Callithrix jacchus: one gene and its partners. The protein of the gene in region 2 purifies or fractionates together with the protein of the main gene of each other region. This does not show direct contact. Links are inferred from orthologs where the notes say so. Each region holds a gene or a part of one and is shown on either strand. Other genes may lie near its edges. The genes, in order: FAF2, NPLOC4 and ASPSCR1.

Region 1 (3,644 bases), on a different chromosome or scaffold from region 2:
ACAGAGAGAGACCAGTTGTAAATTTGGAGGGCTGACCTGGGACTCTACGGATCCTGGCTTCTTCTCTGCATTGGGCCACTGTTAGCTTTTAGCTTTGCCCATTTATTGTCAAAATATTTACATACTTTGACCTAAATTACTCTATATCAGAAAATGTGTTCTTAGAGATTTTCAGAATAAAGACAAGGGCTGGGTACAGTGGCTAACACCTGAAATCCTAGCATGTTAGGAGGCTGAGGCAGGAGGATTATGTGAACCCAGGAGTTCAAGACCATACTGGGCAGCAAAGTGAGACCCCCATCTCTACAAAAAATAAATTAGCCAGGCATGGTGGTACATGCCTGTAGTCCCAGCTACTTGGGAGCCTGAGGCAGGAGGATTGCTTGAGCCCAAGAGTTCAAGGCAGCAATGAGCCCTGATTGTGCCTCTTCACTCCAGACTGGTGTGAAGGTTCCTGTCTTTAAAAAATAATAATTAATGAATGAATAAACAAAATAAAGACAGGCCTCTATGCCCAAGAATGTATATTATGGCATTTAGAATAGCTGAATATAATATAAAGCACCTAAATGTTAAAAAAAAAAAAAAAAAGGTAGAATGATTATAACTCCTCTCCAATACATAACTTATGTACATTAATCATAAGAAATCCTCAAACCACAAAAAAGCACAAGGAAGAAATATAAAATCACTGATAATCCTACCACCACATTAACATTGTTATATTTCTTTTTAATTTTATACACAACACACACCCTATATACATACAGGTTTTTTTTAGTAAAATTGGGATAACACTTTTTTACAACCCTTCATATAAGAATATATCACAGCCTTTTCCCTCATCATTAAATATTATTCTGCCATATTTTTTTTTAATTACTGTATAACATTCTATTGTCTAAATGCATCATAATTTAACCAGGCCACTCTTGCAGGATTTTTAGATTATTTTCAGTTTGTTGCTATTATAAATAGCATACATGGAGATAATTTGTTTGCAATTTGTGATGGTTTCCTTAAATTAAAATTAAGGTTCGGGGCCGGGCGCGGTGGCTCAAGCCTGTAATCCCAGCACTTCAGGAGGCTGAGGTAGGAAGACTGCTTGAACTCAGGAGTTTGAGGTCATCTTGGGCAACATGGTGAAACCCCATCTCTACAAAAAATATAAAAATTAGCTAGGTATGGTGGCACACACCTGTAAGCTAAGGTGGGAGGATTACTTTAGCCTAGGAGGTTGAGGCTGCAGTGAGTCATGATTGCATCACTGCGCTCTAGCCTGGGCAACAGCAACACCCTGTCCCCAAAAAAAAGGAAAAATGCAAGATCAAAACCCTATAAATAAAGTGCTGTTTTAACTGAATAAAAAAATGTGTAAAAGAGGAAACTTTCTGAGGTAACTGAAATGTTTAGTCTTGAAGTGGTGGTTATGTGGTTACATTTATCAAAATTCATTGAATTGTACATTTAAGATCTGTGCATTTCACTGCATGTAAATTTTATCTTAATTTTTAAAGAAAGTATAAAGCAAGAATGTTTCATCTGTTCAACTATTTTGATTGGCTAAATATTTTGGCTAAGAGAAAACAAAAATTTGTTGGGGAGAAGATAGATATGCCAAATGTTAGTGTTTCATCTTTGATTATTGAGTCTCTGAATAACTCTGAAAACTACATATTTCAGATCTGCTACAATCTGTATGGATATATATATGTGTGTTTTGGTTTTATGAGAGCAGTACAAAAATGCAGTAACCCAAAATGGGGTTGATGTAAAATATGATACTGATGATCCCTTTATAATAACAGTACTGTGTTACGTTTGTTAGAATTAGGGGGAAAGTTTTATTTTAAAAACAGAGAGGAAAGCTTGCTGTCTACTTTTCTGTCAAATTAAACTGAGAAAAAAGGTAGCTTATTCAGATTCTGCCATGCTCTGCTTTTTGAATCCCTTATGGCAGTGTGAAATAGTCATCTGCTAAGAATATCAACATTTTTACACACACACACACACACACACACACACACACACAGAATTTCAATATAAGAAAACAGAACTTTGTGAGAGTGCTGTTTTTCTTCTCTTGCTTTCAATCTGTTCACAGGGAAGAAAGAAACCAGACCCAGGTGCTGAGACAACAGCAAGATGAGGCCTACCTGGCCTCTCTCAGGGCCGACCAGGAGAAAGAAAGAAAGAAACGGGAGGAGCGGGAGCGTAAGCGGCGGAAGGAGGAAGAGGTGCAACAGCAAAAGCTGGCAGAGGAGAGACGGCGGCGGGTAATGGACCTGTGGCTTTGTTCCCTATGGTTCCAAACTGCCAAGACTATGCCATCTTGGTCTTAAATGTGAAAGGAAAGCATTATAGCCACCTTAAACAGACTAAGAGAAAAAAAAAAAGAAAAAACTAGAACATGTTGGGATTATGGGTTAAATTTTTCCTACAATTTAATATTTATTCTTTTTTTTAATAAAAATTTAAAAAAAGACACAGGCTTTGCCATATTGGCCAGGCTGCTCTCGAACTCCTGACCTCACATGATATGCCTGTCTTAGCCTCCCAGAGTGCTAGGACTACAGGTGTGAGCCACCATGCCTGGCCCTAAATAATTCTTAATACTAGTACTAGCTAATTTGGCGTTTTACTCATTGTCTTTTTATTTTTGTTTTGTTGTTTTTGTTCCCTAGCAATCAGACTGAGACATACATTATCTTGTTTGATTATGTATTACCACTTACCTATAACCAGTGTCTTTTAACCATTTCCGTTTTCTTTCTTTTTTTTTGAGACAGAGTTTTGCTCTTGTTGCCCATGCTGGAGTGCAATGGCATGGTCTCGACTCACCGCAACCTCTGCCTCCAAGGTTCAGGTGATTCTCCTGTCTCAGCCTCCCAAGTAGCTGTGCATACGCCACCACATTCAGCTAATTTTGTATTTTTTAGTAGAGATGGGGTTTCTTCATGTTAGTCAGACTGGTCTCGAACTCCTGACCTCAGGTGATTCACCTGCCTTGACCTCCCAAAGTGCTGTGATTACAGACATGAGCCACAAGGCCAGGCCTATTTGTTTTTGTTTTTTTTTTTTTTGTCCTTCTTTATTTTATTTTTTTATTTGGCTCAGGATATTATGTGATACTATGTTTTTTTGTTTCTTTTAAGAGATGGGTCTTACGTGTTGTCCAGGCTGGAGTGCAGTGCCTATTCACTAATGCAATTATAGCACACTACACCCTCAAACTCCTGGGCTCAAGCAGTTCTGCTGTGGCCTCTCAAGTAGCTGGAACTATAGGCGCACACCACGGCACCCTGCTCCCTTTCCCTTTTTTCTCAAATGGTTAAATACCTAGACATAGTCAATAAATAATACATGAGATGCAATAATACTTTGAATTTATGTTGTTTTTGACTGTTCCCAAGAGGGTTTTCTTAGAATACTTAGTCACTAATTTTTCTTCTGACTGCATAAGAAAGCTACATGGTCATTGTATTTATTTCTTGAGCCATACCCTAACCTTTGCTTTGTATCTGTGCAGAATTTACAAGAGGAAAAGGAAAGGAAGTTGGAATGCCTACCCCCTGAACCTTCCCCTGATGACCCTGAAAGTGTCAAGATCATCTTCAAATTACCCAATGATTCTCGAGTAGAGA
Region 2 (4,313 bases):
TGGCTCACCGCAGCCTTGACCTCCTGATCTCAGGTGATTCTCTTACCTCACTACCTCAGCTTCCTGAGTAGCTGGGATTATAGGAATGAGCCACTTCACCAAGCTAATTTTTTTTTTCCTTTTTGAGATGGAGACAGTCTTGCTCTGTCACCCAGGCTGGAGAAGGGTGACCCCATCTCCGCTCACGGTGACCTCTGCTTCACAACTTCAAGTGATTCTCCGGCCTCAGACTCCTGAGAATCTGGGAATATAGGCATGCAAGACCACATCCGGGTAATTTTTTTTTTTTTTTTTTTTTTGAGGCGGGGTTTCACTCTTGTTTCCCAGGATGGAGTGCAATGGCGCGATCTCGGTTCACTGCAACCTCCGCCTCCTGGGTTCAGGCAATTCTCCTGCCTCAGCCTCCTGAGTAGCTGGGATTACAGGCAAGAGCCACCATGCCCAGCTAATTTTTTGTATCTTTAGTAGAGACGGGGTTTCACCATGTTGACCTGGATGGTCTCGATCTCTTGACCTCGTGATCCACCCGCCTCGGCCTCCCAAAGTGCTGGGATTACAGGCTTGAGCCACCGCGCCCGGCCTCAATTTTTGTATTTTTATTAGAGATAGGTTTCACCATGTTGGCCAAGCTGGTCTCGAATTCCTGACCTCAGATGATCCACCTGCCTCCGCCTCCCAAAGTGCTGAGATTACAGGCGTGAGCCACCGTGCCTGGCCTAATTTTGTTTCACCATGTTGGCCTGCTGGGTCTTGAACTTCTGGCCCCAGGAAATCTGTCCACTTCAGCTTCCCAAAGTGTTGGGATTACAGCCGTAAGCCACCGCGCCCGGTCTGAAATGTAGTTTTTTTATTCATTTGTTTTTCTCATGTTAAAATTTTTTTATTTTTTCTTTTTTTGTTAATCAATGAGAGCTTCTTATGTTGCTCAGGTTGGCCTTGAACTCATAGCCTCGCCTCCTCAAGCGCCAGGACAACTGGCCAGAGCCACCGCAGCTCCCGTCTCATGTTAAATTTAAAAAAAGACTTAAAAAAAATAACAAAGGTGTGGTCCTCTCCCTGAAATTGTTTCTCTCCTTAGCTGTGCATGGAGGGAAGTTTGGAATGCTATTTCCCCAATTATAATTCGCTGTAATACGCAGCAGTAGCTATTTTTGGGTGAGATTTCGGATGCTTGTCTTTGCCTCCTTTTTGGGCTTTTCTGTACAGCTTGCGTTTCCGAGGACGAGCATTTGTTGTCATCGACGGGGCATTTTTCCAAAATTCGCCTCCTCGCGGTGCCGGGAGGGGAGGCGGGTCCACGGCACCACCCTGCGCATGCGTCCAGTCGTTGCTGGGACCGGAACCTGGTTTCCCGGCCGCGCGCCTAGGGGAGAGTCTTGAGCGAGGCACCAGGACGTCGGCGGCTGGCGGAGCCGGGCGGGCGAAGCTGGAGCGGCGGTTGCGGCGGCGTAGGGAGGCCGGGGCCGGGTCTGAGGCCGCGGCCGGGTCTGCGAGGCCCTTGGGGCAGCAGGCGGCGGCGGCCCGGGACTCGAGCCCGGAGGCAGGAGTGGCCACCATGGCCGAGAGCATCGTGAGTGCGGCAGCCGGGCGGGAGCGGGGACGCCGGGATGAGGCAGCAGATTTGCCGGCCGCGGCCTGCTGGGGAGGCGGGCCTGCCGGCCCCGCGACCGGGTTCCTTTCCCCTTTCTCACCCGGGCTTTCTCAGCAGAGGCTGGGCCCCCCTCGGCGACTTTCACCCCCTCGGCTGCTTCCCGTCCTTGTCCCTTCCCGGCGGACTCGCGACCCCGGTTCCCCGCCCTGGGCAGGGAAAGGCCGAGGCTTTCTGCAGGGAGAATTGACTGTGCCGAAGAGAAACCGCCCTCCTTCCTCACCCGGTTCCCGGCTCCAGGAGACTTCCTGGTCCAGTTCCAGGGACTCCCAGCTAGTCCTGCCCCTCTCAGAGCCAGGGCCACTTCTTACCCCAATCTCCCTCCGATTCTCTTCTACCGCTCTCCCCCTTCCCAGCAAGTGCCTTGTCATGAATCACTGAGGAGAGCAACTGCAGACGGGGACGTTACAGAGCTCCCTCCCCGCCGGTGGAGCTGGGAAAATGAAAACGCAGTAACTTCCCGGCTTTGCTCCTTCTAGGAAGGAAAACTTGACAACTCCTCTTTAAAAGGAATGTCATAAATGAGGTTGATTTAACTTTTTACCTGAAACTGAGAATTGTCAGCCGAGCGCAGTGGCTCACGCCTGTAATCCCAGCACTTTGGGAGGTCGAGGCGGGTGGATCACGTGAGGTCAGGAGTTCGAGACCAGCCTGGCCAACGTGACGAAACTCCGTCTCTACTAAAAGTACAAAAAATTAGCCGGTCGTGGTGCCTGGCGCCTGTAATCCCAGCTCCTTGGGAGGCTGAGGCAGGAGAATCGCTTGAACCTGGGAAGTGGAGGTTGCAGTGAGCCGAGATCGTGCCATTGCACTCCAGCCTGGGCAACAGAGTGAGACTGCATCTCCAAAAAAAGGAAAAACGAATTGTCATCCCTACCAAGGTAAAAAATGTCAGTGAAAAATCAGGGAAAACCAGCCCCTCGTTAACTTGTGAGAAGCTGTTCCCCAAAAGTAAATGTGATGGGGAAAAATTAACTGACTCTTGGACAGAATTTTGGTTAATTTTTTTTTTTTTTTGAGACAGTTTTGCTTTTGTTGACCAGGCTGGAGTGCAGTGGCCCTGTCTCGGCTCACTGCAAACTCCACCTCCCGGGTTCAAGGGATTCTCCTGCCTCAGCCTTCTGAGTAGCCGGGATTACAGGTGCCTGCCACAACGCCCGGCTAATTTTTTTGTATTTATAGTAGAGACTGGGTTTTGCCATGTTGGTCAGGCTTGTCTTGGACTTCTGACCTCTGGTGATCTGCCTCTCTCAGCCTCCCAAAGTGCTGGAACTTACAGGCATGAGCCACTGAGCCCAGCCGAATTTTGATTAGTATTAAGAAAGGTTTGGGATTTCTGGGGGAAGCTGAGCAGTACTGGGTGAGGAGTAATGTTCATGCTGTAGTATTGTGACAGTCTCTGCAGTTTTACCAGGTGTCAAGAATCGGTCTTCAGGCCAGGCGTGATGGCTCACGCCTGTAATTCCAACACTTTGGGAGGCTGAGGTGGGTGGATCACAAGGTCAGGAGTTCGAGACCAGCCTGACTAACATGGTGAAACCCCGTCTCTACTAAGAATACAAAAAATTAGCTGGGTGTTGTGGTGCATTCCTGTAATCCTAGCCTCTTGGGAGGCTGAGGCAGGAGAATTGCTTGAACCTGGCAGGTGGAGGTTGCAGTGAACCGAGATTGCACCATTGCACTCCAGCCTGGGCCACTAAAGTGAACTCCGTCTCCAAAAAAAAAAAAGAAAAAAATGAGCTAAAGACAGATGATAATGCAAGAAATAGAAGCTCTGCAGTGCACTACCAGTCATTGCTGAGAGGAGAAGCTAGGACACCAGCACTTGCAGCATGCTCCTATCAGCCTCCTTCCCGTCTGCAGGTGGTTGGAGCAGGTCTTTGTTTGTTGCAGAGCATGCCATTTCATCCTCCCTATGTGAACAGGGACCTGTACTGTTGGCTAGGCATTATAGCTCACCTTCACAATGGCTTTCATCAGCATAAAAACGAAGTCGTCTTAGGAAGTAATGCTCTTTGTCCCATAGTATTCCAGATCTGCCCCCTTTTTAGGCTTACCATGGGAAAAAAAAATACTTAAAAAAAAAAAATATATATATATATATATATATATAAATAAAATACATACATATTAAATTAGGATGGAGTCAAGCGTGCTGTGTTGGCCAGGCTGATCTTGAATTCTGGGGCTAAAGGGATCCTTCTGCCTTGGCTTCCTGAAGTGCTGGGATTACAGGCATGAGCCACTGTGCCCAACCGAAAATATTTTTTTAAAACCCTGCTAAATTTTACCATTAATGACCATTGTTGTTTTTAACTTTAATCTCTCTCTCTTTTTTTTTTTTTTTTTGAGGCAGGGTCTTACTATGTCACCCATGCTGGAGTACAGTGGAACCATCTTAGCTCACTGTAAACTTGACCTCCCTGGTTCAAGTAATTCTCATGTCTCAATTCCCCAAGTAGCTGAGACCACAGGCGTGTGCCACCATGCCTGGCTAACTTCTGTATTTTTAGTAGAGATGAAGTTTCCTTATGTTACCCAGGCTGGTCTTGAACTTCTCAGCTCAAGTGATCCATCACCTTGTCCTCCCAAAGTATTACAATTACAGATGTGAGCCACTGTGCCTGACCATATTAAAATCTTTTTTACAGAAAGTAAATAACAG
Region 3 (3,644 bases), about 320 kb from region 2:
GCTCGAGGAGGTAGGTTCCCCTTCCAAGTCAGGTGGGAACCCAGAGCCCTCCCCAGGCCACACCCACTAGAGACGGCTCTCGGCTGTTCTGTGAAGGAGGATGGGGCAAGGGTGGACAACTCTCGCTGTTCTGTGAGGGAGGACGGGGTGAGTGTGGGCGACTCTCACTGTTTTGTGAGGGAGGACAGGCCCAGTGCGGAGATGTCCCACCTGCACCACCACTGGACTGAATGGGCTGAAATCACTGTCCAGGCCTCTAGCTGCGTGGCCCGGCTTTGTCCATTTCATGGCTGTTGATTGGGGTGACGCTGTCCCTTCCACATCCCAGGGTGGGCAGAGGGAGGGCCCAGCTTGTTCTCTGAGGGCAGGCGTGGATGGAGTCAGCCTGGCCATGGAGCTGTGGCCAGGAGGGCAGTGGGGGCAGCGGGGGCAGCTGGCCTGGGGTTTTTGCCGATGCTCTAATTAGGTGGCTGTGGCCACCCCCCCCTCCCCCCCGCCATGGAGACCCTGACTTGGCCTGAGCCAGACTCCAGGGGCCATGCGTCCTCAGGGATTAGGTCTCAGCGTCAGGGCTGCTGCACTGGCTTGAGGGGGAGGGCCTTCAGCCCTGAACAGGCCCTGAGTGGGTTGGGGGCCCCTAGCTGCTGTGCCTAGCCCTGGCCCTGTGCTGGTCAGGCCCAGGGAGGGAGTGGGCCCAGCTCCCACATCTGTGCGACTGCCTCAGCCGGGGACACCAACAGCCCAGGGCATGGAGGCCCTGCCCGTTATACCTGCCGTCAGCCTCCCTCTGCCTGCAGCCTGTGGACCGGGAGCCAGTGGTGTGCCACCCCGACCTGGAGGAGCGGCTGCAGGCCTGGTCGGCAGAGCTGCCTGACGAGTTCTTCGAGCTGACGGTGGACGATCTGAGAAGACGCTTGGCCCAGCTCAAGAGTGAGCGGTGGGTCCCCCTCGGCACTTCCCAGCTTCTTTGCCCCAGGGTTTGCCCTGTCGGGGGTCCATGCCTCCACTGTCCTCGGGCACCAGGTCCCTGACAGGCTGCCCTTAACAGCACCTCAGAGGGTTGGGGGGCAAAGGGGGTGTCCGCTCTTGGTGTCTCGTGGGGAGAGCAGCCTACTCCTGCCCTGGCAGGTGCAGGTGACAAGCCCAGGCCTGTTGCCGGTGCCCCATGCTGACCAGGAGCCCTGTTCCTTCCCCGCTCTTCCCACAGGAAGCGCCTGGAAGAAGCACCCTTGATGACTAAGGCCTTCAGGGAGGCGCAGATGAAGGAGAAGCTGGAGCGCTACCCAAAGGTCTGCAGACAGGGCTTTGGGGTACAACTGAGGCACAGTTCTGAGGGGGCTCCTGTGGCTCCCACATGGGACCAGGGCCCTCAGTGATGGCACGAGTGCCCGTGGTAGCCAGTTGATCTTCCCCTGCTTACGATTTAGAATAAAACTTTTTTATTTGTTTATTTTGAGATGGAGTCTCACTGTCACCCAGGCTGGAGCGCAGTGGCGAGATCTTGGCTCCTGCAACCTCTGCCTCCCAGGTTTAAGTGATTCTGCTGTCTCAGCCTCTCAAGTAGCTGGGACTACAGGTGCCCACACCTGGCTAATTTTTGTATTTTTAGTAGAGCTGGGATTTCACTGTGTTGATCAGGCTGGTCTTGAACTCCTGATCTCAGGTGATCTCCCCATCTTGGACTCCCAAAGTGCTGGGATTATAGGCATGAGCCACTGTGCCCGGCCAGATGAAACTTTAAACAGCAAATCTGAACACAGGTCAATGTGGTTTTAGGATTTGGGCCGATGTACGCACACGTGGCATTCCGCTGTCTCTGTGCCCAGCCTGCCGAGGGGGAGTCGAGGCTCGGGCCCTGATTTGGGGGGACTGCCGCTGCTTCTGCCTCCCCCAGCCCTGGTATCCGTGGGCCAAGTGGGGAAGCCATGCCCTGGTCCCTGGGTTGGCTTCGGCTGTTCTTCTAACCCCTCCACTTGTCTGGCCTAGGTGGCTCTGAGGGTCCTGTTCCCTGACCGCTACATCCTGCAGGGCTTCTTTCGCCCCAGCGAGACAGGTGGGCAGCACTTCGGGGTGTCCGGAAATGGGGTTGGGGGCCCATGGGGCCCCTCCTGGCTCCTTCCTTCCGTGCCACACACAGGATTGCTGCCGCCTGGCCTGTAGGCTCCAGGGCACCGGGTGGTGTGGGTTGCTGGGGTCCCCTTGGGGCTGCAGAGTGTCAGGCAGGTCCAGGTGCCTAGCCCCAGCTCAGGGAGCCTGTGGTCCTGAGTACTTACGTCCATCACCTACTAAACATGGGTGGGGCTGAGGGGCACCCAGAGGAAGGTACCATAACCCGGGAGGAGGGCAGAGGTGCTGTGACAGTCAGAGGTTCCTCACTGACCTGTACCCCAGACAGCTGGGTGGCAGCAGCCCAGGGTCACGGGACTCCCCCAGGGAAGCACTCAAGCTGGGGTGGTGGCTGGGGTGGGGCTGGCAGCACAGGCTGGCAGTGGGAGTGCCCTCCTGCAGCAGGGCAGGGTCCCAGGTGTGTCCCGCCAAGCACCTGGGGTGCCGTGGAAGGAACAGGGCTGAATTCCCACCCCAGGGGAAAGGCCCTGAGGGTCAGAGCAGTGGCCCAGGTGCTGGGGCAACCTGGGGCTGGCATCGTGGAAGAGCTCTGTGTGTTTCTTTCTCCTCTGCAGTAGGGGACTTGCGAGACTTCGTGAGGAGCCACTTGGGGCACCCTGAGCTGCCATTTTACCTGTGTAAGTTGTTTCTCCTGAGCCCGCTCTTGGCATCTGTGGCCTTGCGCCCAGCTGCCTCCTGCCAGCCATGGTGTCTGTGTGGGGACCTGGGAGGGGTGCAGCAGGGCCCTTCTTCCCAAGCCGGGCAGTGGGAACCAAGCTTCCCACGTTCTGTCCTGGTGCCCTGCTGCCCTCTGGAGCCCTCTTGCACCCCTGGGGCTCAGGCCACTCCTGCTCGAGAGCTATGGGAAGGACGGGTGGATGGGAAGTGGCTGGTCTCCTTTGGAGGACCTCTGGGTGTAAAGAGTTAGGCTGCCCACCCCGAGGGGAGCTGGGCTGCAGAGCTGTGTGGGTGGTGTCCCCTGGAGGTTGGCCTGCACTGCCCAGCGCCTCCAAGCCCCCCGCTGGGGTTTCTGCAGCAGGAGTAGTGTGGGCAAAGGGCGTGAGCCTGAGGGGGAGGCATCACCCCATCTTCAGGCCTGTTGGCCGGGACTCCATCCTTTCTGATACATAGGCACCTTCTGTCCTCAGTCATCACCCCTCCAAAAACAGTCCTGGACAACTACTCGTGCACCCTCTTTCAGGTACCTGAAGGCCCTCCTGGGGTGCTGTGGGGTGGGGCCTCCGGGGAGGAAAGGATGGGAGGGTGAGGCCTGCGGGTGCTGCGGGGCAGGGCCTCTGGGGAGGGCAGGACAGGAGGATGAGGCCCCGAGGTCAGGAAGGAGGGCCCTGGCAGCTGCTGCCCAGTGATAATAAGCCTTTGAGAGCCAGAGGGGGGTGCTCGCCGGCTTTCCAGCTCCTCTACTTCCTGCTAGCCCCAGCCTGCCTGAACTGAGGCTGCTTGGAGGTCTCAGCCCCCTGGGCTGCTCATGCTGGGGCCAAGGCAGGCCCAGCTCCTGCCCAGGGATCTGGGTGAGAAAG

Evidence for each region.
Region 1: the proteins of NPLOC4 (region 2) and FAF2 purify together in Homo sapiens (affinity purification with mass spectrometry; 3 studies listed by BioGRID and IntAct, with this or other methods). This does not show direct contact. The link is inferred for Callithrix jacchus from reciprocal best matches to the Homo sapiens genes NPLOC4 and FAF2.
Region 3: the proteins of NPLOC4 (region 2) and ASPSCR1 purify together in Homo sapiens (affinity purification with mass spectrometry; 3 studies listed by BioGRID and IntAct, with this or other methods). This does not show direct contact. The link is inferred for Callithrix jacchus from reciprocal best matches to the Homo sapiens genes NPLOC4 and ASPSCR1.

What each region holds. Positions count from the first base shown.
Region 1 is NC_133503.1:69,712,274-69,715,917, reverse strand, and holds part of FAF2 (FAS-associated factor 2), read left to right. Parts: intron 1-2,104; coding exon 2,105-2,276; intron 2,277-3,529; coding exon 3,530-3,644. UniProt on the Homo sapiens protein: Plays an important role in endoplasmic reticulum-associated degradation (ERAD) that mediates ubiquitin-dependent degradation of misfolded endoplasmic reticulum proteins.
Region 2 is NC_133506.1:137,290,004-137,294,316, reverse strand, and holds the start of NPLOC4 (nuclear protein localization protein 4 homolog), read left to right. Parts: upstream 1-1,378; 5' UTR 1,379-1,555; coding exon 1,556-1,570; intron 1,571-4,313. UniProt on the Homo sapiens protein: The ternary complex containing UFD1, VCP and NPLOC4 binds ubiquitinated proteins and is necessary for the export of misfolded proteins from the ER to the cytoplasm, where they are degraded by the proteasome.
Region 3 is NC_133506.1:137,613,786-137,617,429, forward strand, and holds part of ASPSCR1 (tether containing UBX domain for GLUT4), read left to right. Parts: intron 1-797; coding exon 798-937; intron 938-1,207; coding exon 1,208-1,289; intron 1,290-1,986; coding exon 1,987-2,053; intron 2,054-2,681; coding exon 2,682-2,744; intron 2,745-3,237; coding exon 3,238-3,307; intron 3,308-3,644. UniProt on the Homo sapiens protein: Tethering protein that sequesters GLUT4-containing vesicles in the cytoplasm in the absence of insulin. Modulates the amount of GLUT4 that is available at the cell surface. Enhances VCP methylation catalyzed by VCPKMT.